Linked DNA regions of Saccharomyces cerevisiae S288C. Changing the gene in region 3 together with the main gene of any one other region gives a genetic interaction. Each region holds a gene or a part of one and is shown on either strand. Other genes may lie near its edges.

Region 1 (3,438 bases), on a different chromosome or scaffold from region 3:
CGCCCTTAGACGCCAGTGCTATCAAGGGGAGATGAAATAACTCCGTCTTACCATAGCCCGGTGGGGCCTGTACTGCCACAGAGGGTGTGTCTGCCATGTATATTTCATGACATAAGCGCAACTGATGCAAGTCCCTGAATTCAAAGGAGCTGCCAAAGAGTTTCTGGCCTGCGACGAGGATATCGTTTGTACTCTTGGGCTCTCGGGGCCTTTTTCGCGTTACTCTTGAAATTTTTTGATCATGATCTGAACTCGCCGCCTCACCTGCCACTACGTCTTCCGCATTCCGAGTACTAGAGAATGAACAATGGTAGTCGCTTTCAAGGCCTAACCATTGAATCCAGCGCTCGGAAGTGAGTCCGTCAAGCGTCTTTAGTCGAGGCTCCGATGAACCGTTCTTGTTGTATCGTCGACGTATACGTTGCGCTGTAGCTCTGGATAACGGTAAGCGTATCACCGTAAGCTCGTCAATTATTTTTGAGAGCCGCGGTCATTTTGTTAGTATCTCTTCTCAACTTGGGCAGCACACATGCAAAACATCACCCAATCGGTCCTTTTTGTTCATCATATCGTTACATATCTGTGAAAAGTACTTTATCTCAATGGGTTTACGTGGGCATAGATCACGCTTCAGCCGCTCTGTGTCGACTTTCTTTTCGCCAGGTAAACTTGCTTGGTATGCAGAAAAAATCGATAGCTCATCTACGTGTAGTAACAAAAACATGTGGGGTGCCAAATTGTACCCATATCTCCTTATGGTGCTTTTCTGAAGACTCCTTACAATAGGTGCGCCAGAAACAAAGTCAGTGAAAGTACGCATCGTAGAGCTGTCGTTCGGCCTGGCACTCGCTATTTCGTGACAACGTTCCAGGACACGGAAACTCAACTCATTATAGTATCCTCTGTTGAGGTAAAAAAGAGAAAGGGTATCGTAATCCTTTCTATTGAATTTCAAAGTATGCACTTGAAACAACGTGTAGACCATCAAGTTGATTTTCTTGGGAATAAGATACTTTGAAGGGATTGGTCCGCCCTGGAAATCTGGTTCGTCTTCAACAAACGTCAGGAACTTTTGTACATTTTTCCCGACCATGACGGAAACGACAATTTTTTCAAAAGACCTTTTCCTATCCATTGCACCAGTTCTGAATTTTACCACTTTGATTAGGCCAGACTTTTCGTCTTCGTAGAATGACCGCACTTCCGTGGGGATCGATTCAAATAAAGTTATTGAGGGACAATGTACCAAGTCGTTTTTGTTATTTAGAGCCGACTCAAACTCGTCAAAGTTTGCTTTTTCAAACTTACGCCTATCGGAAACTTTCATTTTATTTTTGTAAGTTTCGAAATTAACAATAGTATGTTGATTGTTATGCTTTTTGACAAGAAATCCATCAATATAAACAAAAGATTGTCCAGTTTCCGTCTTATCATCATCTAAGAATGTAATAATTAAGCTACTCTATTGAGAAGAAGCAGAATCTGCGCTATGCAGGTGCAAATCTCCAGCAGCAGCAAAGAAAATTCAGTTAATAAGAAATCTCACTAAGATAAGCGACTGTCTGTCCCAACATAGAAAACAGAAGGATGTCTCATTCATCCTTGATTTCCGGCCTGCAAAAATAAAGTAGTCGGTACGTACGTTCGTTTTCAATTTCCATGGTGCACAGTATCTTAACTATCTGCTTAGTCGAGGAGAACCAGGATTCTGTTCGTTGCTCAGCCGCTTCGTGGATATTCTCTTGGATACTTTAAATATGGACCTACGCTTAGCCTGCGCTTAGCCTACAACTTCTTCCGCTCTCGAAAAGACCAATATAATAGAAAGTTATAAATTACATTTCCTTATTAGGTATACGACCTCGCGCTTCGAAGTAGAGGAGCCCTTTTTGGCGTACCTACATATGGCGCGTCAGACAGACAAACTTCCCCCAAAAATGTATTACCCTGCCGAATAAGAAAACAGACCCATTCACCCACGACGTATCAAGTTACTTCCTTGGTGCAATGTCCCACTATAAAAAAATTCCTTGACGCTAGATCGTTGGACTAAAATCTGCGTCACAATCGCCTAAACAGGAAATATTGCCTATTTTCGTACAAGGTTACTTCCTAGATGCTATATGTCCCTACGGCCTTGTCTAACACCATCCAGCATGCAATACAGTGACATATATATACACCACACCCACACACCACACCCACACCACACCCACACCCACACACACCACACACCCACACACTCTCTTACATCTACCTTTACTCTCGCTGTCACACCTTACCCGGCTTTCTGACCGAAATTAAAAAAAATGAAAATGAAACCCTCTTCTTTAGCCCTACAACACTTTTACATAGCCCTAAGTAGCCCTCATGTACGTCTCCTCCAAGCCCTGTTGTCTCTTACCCGGATGTTCAACCAAAAGCTACTTACTACCTTTATTTTATGTTTACTTTTTATAGATTGTCTTTTTATCCTACTCTTTCCCACTTGTCTCTCGCTACTGCCGTGCAACAAACACTAAATCAAAACAGTGAAATACTACTACATCAAAACGCATATTCCCTAGAAAAAAAAATTTCTTACAATATACTATACTACACAATACATAATCACTGACTTTCGTAACAACAATTTCCTTCACTCTCCAACTTCTCTGCTCGAATCTCTACATAGTAATATTATATCAAATCTACCGTCTGGAACATCATCGCTATCCAGCTCTTTGTGAACCGCTACCATCAGCATGTACAGCGGTACCCTCGTGTTATCTGCAGCGAGAACTTCAACGTTTGCCAAATCAACCCAATGTGGTAACAACCACACCTCCGAAATCTGCTCCAAAAGATATTCCAGTTTCTGCCGAAATGTTTTATTGTAGAACAGCCCTATCAGCATCGACAGGAATGCCGTCCAATGCGGCACTTTAGATGGGGTAACTCCCAGCGCAAGCTGATCTCGCAAGTGCATTCCTAGACTTAATTCATATCTGCTCCTCAACTGTCGATGATGCCTGCTAAACTGCAGCTTGACGTACTGCGGACCCTGCAGTCCAGCGCTCGTCATGGAACGCAAACGCTGAAAAACTCCAACTTTCTCGAGCGCTTCCACAAAGACCGTATCGTCTTTTGCCTCCCATTCTTCCCGGCACTTTTTCTCGTCCCAGTTCAAAAAGTACTGCAGCACCTCTGTCTTCGATTCACGCAAGTTGCTCCATACTTTATAATACAACTCTTTGATCTGCCTTCCAGACATGCGGAAAACTTGGCTCCCTTGCTTGCCTCTTGTCGAATCCAATACACTAATTGTTTCTCTTCTTCTAGTAATGGCCAGGTACCAAGCATAATTTCTCTGTATCTGAGAGTAGATCTCTCCCCTTTTTACGCTAAAAAATTTCAAATACCCTACAGGGTCCCCATGATATGGCTCGATGTCTTCCA
Region 2 (5,061 bases), on a different chromosome or scaffold from region 3:
ATGGTAGGCAAGATCCTAAAAAACCCTTTTTCACACCATGGAAGCCAAGACCATTTTTATCGCCTTTCGCCATTTTACCTCATCATTTGGAAATATCTTTCAAGACATGCCACGCTGTATACCTAAGGGATCCCGTCGCTCGACCAGGCCAATCCGAAGTAATTTCACCATTTGATGTTCCTGTTCATGAACGTGCATATATGTATTACTTGAGAAATGGTAAATGATCGTCGTGTATTGTTGCACGCGTCTTTTGACTGATCTTCAGCCTCTCTTTACACTGTAAATATTTAATTTTTTTTGTTTTTAAGTTCTACTCGAACGATCAAGTAGTCACTTAGTCGCTCCTCGTTTTCCTGTTACTTCTTTAAGAAAAGGTTACACATGAAAAAAAGGTTTTACAAAAAGTATATAATTGTTTATTCATTCACTTTTCTTTCTGATTGATTCAAATGTGATTTATTTCTTTTAACTAAATACAATTAATGCTCCTCGCAATATTAACCAGCATGTTCGAAAACAGCAGATTTGAACTTACCATCAGCGAAGCTATGCTTCATCTGTTCAGGGATTGGGAATTCTACGTAATCATCGTCCTCGCCGATTGGTAAGTTGACGTTAATAGCAGTTGAGCACGAGGTGTAGATTTCAGTATTCAAGGATTCCTTGGATAAATAGATGTTACCGCCGTCAGATTTATCAATGGAGATTTGAGGTAGGGAATGGTTAACTTGAATGCCAAACTTGTTGGATTTGATGACATCCATACCGGAAATGCTAGAATCAAGAACAACACTGCATGACTCAGTTTCACTCAACGAGATAGCGTTAACTTTTCCTTTTATTTGAACAAGAACTTGAGAACATTTACCTATGAAGATAGACTCATCTTTATTTGCATCAATAACCAGAGATTCAGTTTCATTTTCGTAATTCTCAATAAACCATTTGTTTCCTACCAATTCCTTTCTAGGAGGCCTCTTAGTTTTCAATGTTGATGGCTTTTTTGGCCTTGGTGGTGGACCGGATTTACTTCCTGTGGAAGAAACTGTAGAGGATTGACGTAATTCAGGATTTTTGTGAGTTTGTTGGGATTTGTCTACTTTTTTCAAACCCTTAGTGATATTTTCACCCTGATTTAGTTCGGCGAAGACCGCGCCAATACCGCCTTTGTTAGCATCACTACTCGTTGCTGGTGTATCATTAGAGATTTCAAAGACGGAAGCTGGTGGGGCTGGTGGAGGAGGTGGTGGTGCTGGAGCCGCTGTAGCACTTGCTGGCGAAGGAGATGAAGTAGCACCTGTATTCTTCGTTGATTGTGCCATCGCGTCAGCAAAATCCATACCGTCTTTTTTCCAGGAAACCCCAGTAGTATGATACTCTTTAATGTAGGCTTTCAAATTATCGAAAGAGGCCAAAAATTTCTTAACCCATTCAACAGCATTAGGATCAGACTCTCTGTATTCTTTCAAAATTCTATTAGTCCAAAACTGTGCTGCGTCCTTGAAATCTGTGACCATAGACACGGGAGTGTCCACTGCAACCCAGGAGAACAAAGGAGCACCCTCAGATAAAGCGCTCAAATATGCGAAGTATTTGCTTTGACGGTTTGATTCCTTCAATTGACCCAGCTTTATAATATTTTCGTTGATAGGTCTTAAAGAATCAGCGAAAGTTTGAGAAGAATAATCCGGTTTTCTTGATCTCACAGCAGCTCTTAAAAAAGTCAATTGCGATTGAAAGCCTCCCTTTAGCAACTGCAAAGCATCTAAGACCACCGTGTCGATCTTTCCTGATAATTCTACCAGCGGATCAATATTCTCACCGATGTAAGATTGGAACGCAGTTATGCATTTCGGATCTTGTTCTACTTCAGGAGCATTTTCTGCAGAAGGTTCATTCGTAGTATTCGCATCGGCCCCGGAGTCGGAAGGCTTGTTATTTTTAGATGCCTCCAATTTATTCTGAATATAACCTTCTTGATAGATGGTGACATCCTCTAATCTTGCAGTGGCTTCTTCTAGCCTTTTTAATAGCTTAACAAGGTTATAACCTTGCATTGTGTACTTAGAGTCAGGCATGATTCGATTTCACACGGTTGCAACTTGGCCTACTCAATTACGAAAAGTTTCAAGCTGAGTTTTCCCCTATACTACCAAAAGATTTCACTTCTAAATCCCTGTTTATGACTTCACGCGACATGTATAGATCATTTTAAACGATATGAATTGTATACTGTCCCAACATTTTATATCTTTATATAAACATCAAGGTTAATAATGTTCGACAGTTACTAGAATCAATGCCTAAAAGGTTACTGACTGAGTGTGATCTCTACCATAAATCTTGAGAACGACATACGAGGCGTAATTTTATGTAAAAATTATTTATGGATGTGGCTTCAACGTCCTACCTCTCTTCTCGTAAGTAGGCTTTATAGCCAGGGGACATGGATTTCAGGAGGTGAATACGAGTGTCACGTATACTAAGGTCTCCTCGGCTCAATGAAACGTACTCCAAAGATGCGGAGTGGCCTTGTAATGTATTTAGTGTATCGTTTCTCACATTTCTCTGCCACTGTTCTCGTGTAGTGCTCTCATCTCCCAGTCCGATGTACTTTTGTTTGTATATCTTCTGCAACTTCAACTGCCTCTGCTTTTCCGCCTGTTTTGAGTATTAGCATTACGTATAAGCCGCACGGACTTGCACGATTCATCGCAAGCGTAGTTAGTACCATGGTAAAGATGATTTCAATTCAAACTAAAGCGCAATAGAACGTAACATACCATTTCTTTTCTTAATTTCACTGTTTCGAATTGTGTAATATAACCATTTTAGCCACTATTTACATGTTCTGAATGAGAAGGCTTATGTTCTTCTCTTCTTCCCGGGTGACAACGCTAACTTCGGCGTAAGATTTTCCGCTATTTCTTCAATAGCGACATAACGTATGAGAGTTTATGCCCAGGGAACACGTTGATTTAGAAGCAAACACTGTTGCATAAATTATAGGGCTGTGATTTTATCGTCTTTATCTAAAGCATAATAGGGTGAAACGGTTTCAGTTGATACATATTCGCACCAGTATACATTTTCAGGACTTTATGGCAGAACAGACGCTACTTTCCAAATTGAACGCTCTTTCTCAAAAAGTGATACCACCAGCTTCCCCTAGTCAGGCAAGCATTTTAACGGAAGAGGTGATACGAAACTGGCCTGAACGATCAAAAACTCTCTGCTCCGATTTCACTGCACTGGAGTCAAATGATGAAAAGGAAGACTGGTTGAGGACTTTGTTTATTGAACTGTTTGATTTCATAAATAAAAACGATGAAAATTCTCCCCTCAAGCTTTCTGATGTTGCATCATTTACTAATGAATTAGTGAATCATGAAAGGCAAGTGTCCCAGGCTTCCATAGTTGGTAAAATGTTTATCGCCGTCTCAAGCACTGTTCCAAATATAAATGATCTAACAACCATATCATTATGTAAACTAATACCGTCGTTGCATGAAGAATTGTTCAAATTTAGTTGGATATCCTCTAAGCTGCTCAACAAGGAACAAACCACCTTATTAAGGCATTTGTTAAAAAAGTCAAAATACGAACTGAAGAAATATAACCTTTTGGTAGAAAATTCAGTGGGTTATGGTCAATTGGTAGCCTTATTAATATTGGCGTATTATGATCCCGACAATTTTTCCAAAGTGTCCGCATATTTGAAAGAAATCTATCATATTATGGGGAAATATTCCTTGGATTCTATTCGTACTTTAGATGTTATTTTGAACGTTTCTAGTCAGTTTATCACTGAAGGGTACAAGTTCTTTATTGCTCTTTTACGAAAGTCGGATTCTTGGCCATCTAGCCATGTAGCTAACAATTCCAATTATTCTTCTCTTAATGAAGGCGGTAATATGATTGCAGCAAACATTATTTCATTCAATTTATCGCAATATAACGAAGAAGTCGATAAGGAAAACTATGAACGGTATATGGATATGTGTTGCATTTTACTGAAAAATGGGTTTGTCAATTTTTATTCTATTTGGGATAACGTTAAACCAGAGATGGAATTTCTACAAGAATATATTCAAAACTTAGAAACTGAACTGGAAGAGGAGTCCACTAAAGGCGTAGAAAATCCCTTGGCTATGGCAGCTGCTTTGTCCACTGAAAATGAAACTGACGAAGACAACGCCCTTGTTGTAAATGATGATGTTAATATGAAGGATAAAATCTCTGAGGAAACAAACGCTGATATAGAATCAAAAGGCAAGCAGAAAACTCAGCAAGATATTTTATTATTTGGTAAAATAAAACTCTTGGAACGCTTACTCATACATGGTTGCGTTATTCCCGTGATACATGTGTTAAAGCAATATCCGAAAGTGTTATATGTTAGTGAATCCTTATCTAGATATTTGGGAAGAGTATTTGAATATCTTTTAAATCCATTGTACACATCAATGACCTCATCTGGTGAATCAAAAGATATGGCAACTGCTTTGATGATAACCCGTATAGATAATGGTATTCTAGCCCATAAGCCAAGGTTGATCCATAAATATAAAACTCACGAGCCATTTGAATCCCTTGAATTGAATTCAAGCTACGTCTTCTATTACAGCGAGTGGAATTCCAATTTGACTCCTTTTGCTTCTGTAAATGATCTATTTGAAAACTCGCATATCTATTTATCTATCATAGGACCGTATTTGGGGAGAATTCCTACGCTTTTGAGTAAGATTTCACGTATTGGGGTAGCTGACATTCAAAAGAACCACGGTTCTGAGTCTCTGCATGTTACGATTGATAAGTGGATAGACTATGTAAGAAAATTCATTTTTCCAGCTACCTCGCTATTGCAGAACAATCCAATTGCCACATCGGAAGTTTACGAACTAATGAAATTTTTCCCTTTTGAAAAAAGATATTTTATTTACAACGAAATGATGACGAAATTATCCCAAGATATTCTACCGCTTAAGGTGAGCTTCAATAAGGCCGAAAGAGAAGCGAAGAGTATTTTGAAGGCTTTGAGTATAGATACAATCGCAA
Region 3 (5,402 bases):
TTTATTGAATCTATTGCATAACCCTGTAAAAGCCATAAAATACATAAAAAGTTTACCAATTGATGAAACCCTAAGATGCCTTGTGACGTACTCGAAAAAATTACTGGAGGAGTCACCGAATGAAACTAATGCTTTACTGATAGAAGTATTTACAGGGAAGTTCAAACCATCCACTTTTGAAGTGGATCTGGACCGGAGAGATACGACGGGCGATTTTTCTGAAAATATTAGAACAGTTTTTTACAGTTACAAAACATTCTTCAACTACATGAACTCAAATGGTACATCAGACGCAATGAGCGAGTCTTCAGAGGCATCCCACGAACATGAAGAGCCTACTTATCATCCGCCGAAGCCATCCATTGTTTTCAGTTCATTCGTTACAAAACCTTTTGAATTTGTTGTTTTCTTAGAAGCCTGTTTGGCATGTTACCAGCAGTATGAGGGTTTTGACGAAGATAGGCAAGTAATTTTGACTACTTTATATGACTTATATTTGAATTTGGCGCAAAATGATGTACCCGAGCGTATAGACGACTGGCGTTCAAGAGCAACTGGCGTATTGCGTGAGAGCAATAAATTGGTGTATTCTGCCGCAAGTAATAATACTAGCAAAAGGGTGGATAACTCAATAATGCTGTTAATTTCCCATATGGATCAAAGTAGTGCTTCAGCAAAAGATAAGACGAAAATTGACATAGCTTCATTTGCCAATGATAACCCCGAGATGGATTTGCTGAGTACATTTAGGGCTATGACGTTAAATGAAGAACCAAGTACTTGTCTCAAATTCCTAGAAAAATATGGCACAGAGGAACCCAAGCTCTTACAAGTAGCATTGAGTTACTTTGTTTCTAATAAACTAATCTTCAAGGAGATGGGCGGTAATGAAGTACTGAAAGAAAAAGTATTGAGGCCAATTATAGAGGGGGAAAGAATGCCACTGTTGGATATAATTAAAGCGCTATCCCGTACAAATGTAGCCCACTTTGGGCTGATACAAGACATCATTATTGATCATGTCAAAACCGAAGATACAGAAATCAAAAGGAACGAAAAACTAATTGAATCTTACGATAAAGAGTTAAAGGAGAAAAACAAGAAGTTGAAGAACACCATTAATTCAGATCAACCTCTCCACGTACCCCTGAAGAATCAAACGTGTTTCATGTGTAGACTGACATTGGATATTCCTGTAGTTTTTTTTAAATGTGGTCACATTTACCACCAACATTGTCTAAATGAGGAAGAAGATACTCTAGAAAGCGAGAGAAAGCTCTTTAAATGTCCCAAATGCTTGGTGGACTTAGAAACCTCCAACAAACTTTTTGAAGCTCAACACGAAGTAGTTGAAAAGAATGATCTTTTGAATTTTGCATTAAACAGTGAAGAAGGTAGTAGAGACCGTTTCAAAGTCATAACAGAGTTTTTAGGTAGAGGTGCCATCAGTTATTCTGACATCACTATTTAATGATGGATCATAACGATCTATTGTCGCCGCCGCGTCACAAATGCGCCCCGAACTTGTCGCGAAGTTAATCTGAAACATATATGTTACCTACTGAAACAGCGCATGTTGGAAAAGACAAAGGTGAAGACGAAGTTGTATATTTAAGATAGACCCTTTATACATCCTTTTGAAAAAATTATTAATGTGGCAACCGTCTTTTATTTGACAAAGTATCTTTTTTCTTTGTGAAACCAATTTTAGGTTTTCTTGTTATAGTAAGTTCTTAAGAAAAAGACAAGAAAACCCCTTGCGATGTTTAAGACTTCATATAACTTGTACGATTTGAACTATCCGAAAAATGATTCATTAACGCCAATAAGAGACTACAAAAATGACTATTTTCATAAAAATGATGACAAATTACCAGAAATTGTTAGAAAACCTACGAGAAAGTTATCGAAACATGAAAACAAACTCAACGATAAAAAATTCACGAATAAACGACCAGCAAGTCTGGACTTGCATTCTATAGTGGAGAGCCTGAGCAATAAAAAAATTTACTCTCCTATTAACACAGAGATATTTCAAAATGTCGTGAGACTGAATTTGAGCCCTCAGATTCCCAATTCTCCTCACGAGGGATGCAAATTTTATAAAATCGTACAGGAGTTTTACCTCTCTGAAGTGGAATATTACAATAATTTGTTAACCGCAAATAACGTATACAGAAAGGCATTGAATAGTGATCCAAGATTCAAGAATAAACTTGTCAAGCTTGATTCAAGTGACGAGCTATTGCTTTTTGGGAACATTGACACTATTGCGTCAATCAGCAAAATACTGGTAACGGCAATAAAAGACCTACTTTTAGCCAAGCAACGTGGGAAAATGTTGGATGCGAATGAATGGCAAAAGATATTCACCAAAAATGAGGTACAACAGCAGCTATATTCAACTTTTGATATTTCAGAGGCGTTCGAGCAACATTTGTTAAGAATCAAATCCACCTACACAAGCTATTTTGTTAGCCACCAAAAACAAATGGAACTATTTACTACATTAAGGATGAATAAGAATCATTTTTTTAACAAGTGGTATGAATATTGTTTAAAAGAGAGTGGATGTATAAAGTTAGAGGACATATTGAAAAGCCCGATGAAAAGACTGACTCAGTGGATTGATACTTTGGAAACTTTGGAAAGCTGTTACGAAGATATTCTTTCGCCAGAATTGGGCTTGAAACTAAGCCCGACAAGAAGAAAATATTCTTTATTTTCCAATAAGTTAGAAACCGAGGTCTCCGAGTATAAGAGTAATTCCATGTATAATTTCAGTTTAACCCCATCAGAGATTATACAAAGTTATGATGAAGATCAGTTTACACACCTTTTAAAACCCCCAGACAAACAAAATAAAAATATATGTAATGCATCTCGACAAGAGAGTAATTTGGATAATAGTAGAGTTCCTTCTCTTCTTTCTGGATCATCGAGTTACTACTCAGATGTATCAGGGCTAGAAATTGTCACTAATACTTCAACTGCCTCAGCTGAGATGATAAATCTAAAAATGGATGAAGAAACAGAATTTTTTACATTGGCAGATCACATCAGTAAATTCAAGAAAGTAATGAAAGGTTTGTTAGAATTAAAAAAGAATTTATTGAAAAACGATCTGTCAGGCATTATTGATATCAGTTTAAGAAGAATAAATGCATGGAAAAAGGTGATCGAGTGCGAACGCCCTTCTGGTGCATTTTTTGCGCACGATAACTTAATATCGACCATGTGTTCTTCGTACATAGATAAACTGCATGAACAAAAAAATCAAGTAACAATTTTGAAACTCACAGAGCTCGAAACAGATGTGATGAACCCACTTGAAAGAATCATAGCCCATTGTACTACCGTTAAAAGCAAACTAAAAGATTTGCAAGCTTTGAAGAAAGATTACATGTTATTTTTACAAGAAAAAAAAGCAAATGTGCGAGATATTAAACGTGACTTGTTGGGAATGCATTTCCAAAACCTGCAAAACCAGATGAAAAGGGAATTACCGGTCTTTATTACTTTGATCCACGATACTATCGAATGTATCTTGTTGAACTATATCAAAGTCTTCTTAAAATATTTGGAAATCATTGCTGGTGGAAAAAAATACCTGCAAAAAGATCTTGAAAATATGTCTCTTAATGACTCTATAGCTACCGGCCAAATTAAAAATCTTGATATTTTGCAGTGTTATTCTAAATCACGATATATGACAAAACGCATGGTAAGAAAAGATTGGCCTTTCCCTGGAGACCCTAGTGGAAGCCGTGTTGTCAGAAAACTTTTCGAACTTTAACAAAAGAGTATATTTAGCTTATAGTTTTTAGAATGTTTTGTTTTCTTTTTTATTAAAGTAGTACTACTGCGCTGGAGCAGTATATATGTTGAACTATAGTCAGTCACCTATAATTTGTTTGCTGGCGCGAAGGAGAAAGAAAATTTTAATTAATTCATGAAAAGCCTTAAGAAAAAGTTTAAGAGGAAATGAGCAAATAGAAGGCAAATAGAGGGTGAAAGCATTATGGCCGACATCAATAAATATATTCCGATGGTTGACGCTATTTTGAGCGTATCCAACCCCGATGAAATAAGCCCAAAAAGGGTGAGGAAAGCCCTGCAAATTCTCTATTCAGTTAATTTGGATTCACAAAGAAAGTTAATTAATGAATTGATTCTTGAGAGGTTCGGCGATATACAAGAAAACCCAAGAGTCTTAATTCCGAAGAACGACCTCATTAGTCGGGATCAAGAACTATCTTTGAGGTTACAGAAGGAAGAAGAAAGACCCTTGAGGTCTACGAGGAAAAGGAAAGGTAAAAGTGAAAGTAAATCTAAAAGGAAGAAGAAAAAGAATGATAGTCCTGATTCCAACAGCATTTCCGTCCGCAAAGTTCTGTTGTCAGCTCCTTTACAAAAGTTTCTAGGATCTGAAGAACTGCCACGAACGCAAGTAGTGAAGATGATATGGCAGTATATCAAAGAGCATGATCTTCAAAACCCAAAAGATCGTAGAGAAATTCTATGCGATGAGAAGATGGAACCAATTTTTGGCAAAAAAATGACGATGTTTTCAATGAATAAACTCTTAACTAAGCACTTGTTTAATCCCGATGAAATTGTGAAACATGAAGAGGAACAAAAGCAAACACCCGAAAAAGAAATCAAATTGGAAAACGAATCTCTTCCCAATTTAAGCGGTTGATCTTGGCTGTAGCACTTATACAAATTTAATGATTTTTTTTCCTCTTTGATGACATGTATAAAGCACACTGCACCTACTGTATTGTACTTGAAACAGGTAAATTAACAATTAATGTAGCATTAGTAATAAATAATTTCACTTCACGGCGTTAAAGAAATACTATGGCAAATTCGATTTGAGAATTTCGTCAAATTCTGATGATATCAATTAATGGCATATTTTTTTTATTTTTTATCTGGAGAAAAAAATGTAAAAATGACAGCAGCATCAACAATGAATAAAAGCAAGTACAATAGTCGTAAAGATCTATATTAATTTCATGGCAGCACAATAATACACGTTGTTTAAATTAGTTAAAGTGTCACTCCTTGCTTATCGAAGGAACTATCGATTCCTAATTATGGCAAGGCAAGGGAACTTCTACGCGGTTAGAAAGGGCAGGGAAACTGGGATCTATAATACATGGAATGAATGTAAAAACCAAGTTGATGGTTATGGTGGTGCAATTTATAAAAAATTTAACAGCTACGAGCAAGCGAAATCTTTCCTAGGTCAACCAAATACTACATCAAACTATGGAAGTTCAACGCATGCTGGAGGGCAAGTTAGTAAACCTCATACCACTCAAAAGCGAGTTCATCGAAGGAATCGGCCACTTCATTATTCCTCCTTGACATCGTCATCAGCATGTTCATCTTTA
Region 4 (3,820 bases), on a different chromosome or scaffold from region 3:
GTCTTGAGGCATATATCGGGCTCTAGTGATTTCTTCTTCGTGCTCATATTTAGCGGTAATCCTTATATTTGACCTAGGAGCAGGTAGAGAGGACTGATACTCCTCTCCTGCTTCTTCTTGTGGGTCTTCATTACTAAGAATTTCCTTTGGTAGATTAATTTCTGCGAATTTCAAATAGTTTTCTTCTTCACCAGAAGTGTGCGTACCGATGATTAATTCTTGTTTAATAAAGCCACCATCTAATTCTTGAACAGGAGTAGGGAGCCATTGGACGGTTAAAGATGGCCATGTTAAACGTGTCTCGCTAACAAAGTCATACATTAATGGAACATTGGATTTCCATAAATCGTACTCCTCGTCTACAGAAAGCGGTTTCTCTTGGTTTTCCATAGTTGATTGGTAATTTGCTATTTGGTGACTACTAGGCTAACCACAATTGATAGGAGAGATAAGAGAGGCAGAAGTATTAGAGGCATAGTAACGTCTTTCTAGTTATTCTCCATTATTATTTTCAAGGTTTGTCTTTGTCATGTCGACGAATGCCAGTGAAAACATCCGTACACCTCACAAATTGTTATTTTGAACAGAACAGACGAGCTACTCATCAAGTATCAAATAGACTGAACAAATGACCTAATCTTTCTAGATTACTCCAAAAGAAAAAGCTGAAAGGAAACCGGTTAAAAACATGAAAGCTTTCTGTAGGGAAGTTTTTTCCTCGCTCTGCTCCTGAGCCTACAGGAGCATGGAAATGGTTGAAAGGACCGAGGAAGAAAGGGAGCATGTCAAATAGAACAAGAGGAAAAAAAAGGTGAAAACAGCTATTTTAAGCAGCAGAAGTTTGAGTCAGAAATGCCTACAATATATGAGAATTTCTTCGCACATGGTTTAAAAAAACTAAATAATCCGCGTGATAACGTTCTCACCAGATTATGAAATCAAATAACAATGCCCCACCTGTATATTGCGATTGACGTAAACGGTAATAAATGTAAAATTTAACATAAAAAAGGGTAAAGAAAACAAACTTTTTCAGGGGTCATCCCTTTTTGTTTTCTTTTTCATTCTTATAAATCAAGAGTATTTTATCGGTAGACAGTTTAGCCGCCGATTTTGTACCGCAGTCCAATATTAGTAAATGTTGGGCACCACTTTGAACATACCGACTCATTGAGACTGCAAGAGCAATTATTTTATATTCTTCTTGAGGCGCCGTTAAAGAGAGAATGAACACGACAATTATCTACAGCATGCAATCGTGGTCAGAATTCTAACTTTTTGTCTTATAAATGCGCACGTATTATTTTCATTTATGTATATATAGATAAATCAGAGCATTGAGTAGTAAAACTGAAGGCTCAAGAGTTCTGATACGCGATGAGAATTCGTGCAGTTAGGATGTCAATTTTGCCAAAATTGGGACGGGCGGCTGCCGTCCGGGGATTCCATGAAGAGAGTGGAAAAAAAAGTGTCACTAACTTCCCACAGGTATCCCCGACACCCTATCCTGCGCTAAGAAAGCCAATCGGCTGAATGTGCAATTGATTGACGTTGAAGGAAAAGAAAAAAAGGAGAAAATTGGGGCGATAATAACAATCACAAACGTCTTCCACTTTTTATCAAATGTTGCGGGAAGAAATAAGGGTAAAATGCCTTGTGTAGGTTCATACATATATAAATAAGTAAGGAAGTTAAAAGAAACCCTTCAAAATGTAACCTACATCATGCGTAGGCTTAATATTAAGCGGAGAAAATCGGCAAGCCCAAGCTTATATTCATATTATGGAATACAAAAGGCGAAAAAGAAAATTGACTAGTAACTAAATTGAAAATTAAATGGCAAATGATGGGATTCAGAGGAATGACAACAGAAAGGGTTTTAAAACTGTACAGTTCTCGGCTTATTCTAAAGAAATTGACGTCATAATGAAAAAAATATCATTCTTGGAAAGAAACATTACCCAACAACTAGATACTCTTCCTCATTTTCCAAAAACCTTACCACCAAATCACAAAGATTGTGTAAGTAGAAAGCACAGGGCCAGGCGAGGTTGGAGTAGTCAGCTGAAAAACTTGCTAGGCATTTACTCCAAAGAGGAAATTTTTACTCTGGATAATTTAGCTGCAACACTGCATGATCAAGTTTTAAAGTTACAAGCTACACTTTTTCCCAATGCCATACTGAAACAGGTTCATCTCGACAATGCCAACATAGAAAACAAGAGAATTCTGAAGGAAATTACATATAAATACCTTTCCAACGAAAACTGTAAAGAGGAGAACAAATTCGGAACATTCATCGTAAAGAGAATTTTTTTTGGTGACTTATCACTCGGGGTTTCCGTGTTAATCAACCGTATTGCTTTCGAATCGGCCACATCATCCATTATGGTAGTGAGAAGTTCATTTATTGAAAGTGATTTCTTTTATGAAGATTATTTGATTTTCGATTGCAGAGCGAAACGACGAAAAAAATTGAAGAGGAAAATTTTGTTTATTTCCACTACCATGAATTTCAATTACCAAACCAAAGTCTAAGCCTGTAACAAACGTTGATTGATACCAATATTTTTTCTCTTTCATTTATCTCTCTGTATATCTAAATAGCTATACTATACATCGAATAATGCTTTCAAGCAGATGCCTTAACGTGCTCCACCACTTCGTCACAAAATTGACCTAACTTAGAGGAGTCCTTACATTCCGCATAAACCCTCACCGCATCCTCCGTACCACTGGCTCTGACAAAGCTTCTTCCCATGGGATACTTGGCTACCACAAGATCTATCTTGTCTTGCAACCCCACTGGATTGAGCAATTTTCTTTCCTGGTCCGTGGTTTGGAAAATTGACCTATCAGGAACGATGCACTTAACCAGCTTGTTGGGCAAATCAGTATACTCTTCATCCCAATCCATTGGCGACATTTTCAAAATCGCCAAAGTAGCAAGGACAGCAAGCATGTCTGAAATAGCATCTCCCACGGTCTGATTAATCAATTCAGAGAAACACTTCAAAGTTCTCAAAGCTAACGTATCACCATTTAACTTGGACTTGGATAATTCAGATTTGATAGTTCGATGAAATTTTTCGCTGAATATAATCGTACCATGTCCATTTGCTTCGAAATAAATGCCAATATCGTACTGAGTGGCAGCTTCATGATGCAAGTGTTTAACACCTGTCTTAGTGCAAGACACGGGACAGTGCAACGTATTTTTTATGTAAGCGGTGGAACTGCCGTTTGCATAGGCAGTTTGCACAACACCAATCTTCAAAGAATGTTCTAGGTGTGCCAATTCTAGTTGTTTAGACAAGAACTTTGCAAACAAAGTGGAAATTTTGTCACCATCCAACAAATGAAATTTTGATCCTGAGTCGACATAGTAGAACACAACCCTGTCTGCGTCACCATCAAAGGAGCAATATAGCGAATCAAACGAGGATGGAGAAAGACCCTTGGGTAATCTCTGGTTAGTCTTCACATAATCCGCACCGCATTCAAAATTCAACAGTTCTGGAACATCGGACCTGTCGTTGATTACCTCAACTTGCTCCGCTGGCACGTCCCAATCTTCGGAGGCCAGTAGTTTTTTCAACTGTGGACCACCGATACCATTGGCTGTGTCTATGAACAATTTTGGGACAGACAGCCTCTTCTCCAGCTGATACGTGGCGAAGAGCTCGTTGAAGGCTCCTATAAAGAACGAATAGTAGTCCTGTTCTGTGGCAACTGGCGCTGTGTCTCCTTCCAGTTTCCGCCTGTTGGACAAATCAGTAATGTAATGCAATTGAGGCGTAGTGACACAGCCTAGGTCCAA

What was found.
Region 1: mutations in FUS2 (region 3) and YLL066W-B together harm fitness more than expected from each alone (negative genetic interaction), as found in Saccharomyces cerevisiae (one large-scale study listed by BioGRID).
Region 2: mutations in FUS2 (region 3) and SRV2 together harm fitness more than expected from each alone (negative genetic interaction), as found in Saccharomyces cerevisiae (one large-scale study listed by BioGRID).
Region 4: mutations in FUS2 (region 3) and SDD1 together harm fitness more than expected from each alone (negative genetic interaction), as found in Saccharomyces cerevisiae (one large-scale study listed by BioGRID).

What each region holds. Positions count from the first base shown.
Region 1 is NC_001144.5:3,482-6,919, forward strand, and holds YLL066W-B (uncharacterized protein), read left to right. Parts: upstream 1-2,123; coding exon 2,124-2,294; downstream 2,295-3,438. Other genes in the region: YLL067C (Y' element ATP-dependent helicase), read right to left, coding at 1-434, 534-820; YLL066C (Y' element ATP-dependent helicase), read right to left, coding at 2,639-3,438.
Region 2 is NC_001146.8:363,761-368,821, reverse strand, and holds SRV2 (adenylate cyclase-binding protein), read right to left. Parts: upstream 2,082-5,061; coding exon 501-2,081; downstream 1-500. Other genes in the region: mitochondrial 37S ribosomal protein uS4m NAM9, read left to right, coding at 1-227; U2 snRNP complex subunit YSF3, read right to left, coding at 2,410-2,664, 2,787-2,789; THO2 (Tho2p), read left to right, coding at 3,105-5,061. UniProt on the Saccharomyces cerevisiae protein: The N-terminal domain binds to adenylyl cyclase, thereby enabling adenylyl cyclase to be activated by upstream regulatory signals, such as Ras. The C-terminal domain is required for normal cellular morphology and growth control.
Region 3 is NC_001145.3:735,164-740,565, forward strand, and holds FUS2 (Fus2p), read left to right. Parts: upstream 1-1,762; coding exon 1,763-3,796; downstream 3,797-5,402. Other genes in the region: tethering complex subunit PEP5, read left to right, coding at 1-1,471; TRI1 (Tri1p), read left to right, coding at 4,022-4,702; RNH1 (RNA-DNA hybrid ribonuclease), read left to right, coding at 5,103-5,402. UniProt on the Saccharomyces cerevisiae protein: Promotes cell fusion during zygote formation.
Region 4 is NC_001137.3:43,738-47,557, reverse strand, and holds SDD1 (Sdd1p), read left to right. Parts: upstream 1-1,836; coding exon 1,837-2,538; downstream 2,539-3,820. Other genes in the region: HAT2 (Hat2p), read right to left, coding at 1-390; phosphoacetylglucosamine mutase PCM1, read right to left, coding at 2,633-3,820. UniProt on the Saccharomyces cerevisiae protein: Acts as an endogenous target of the ribosome quality control (RQC) pathway. During translation, the nascent chain has a propensity to stall ribosomes, thereby stimulating activation of the RQC pathway.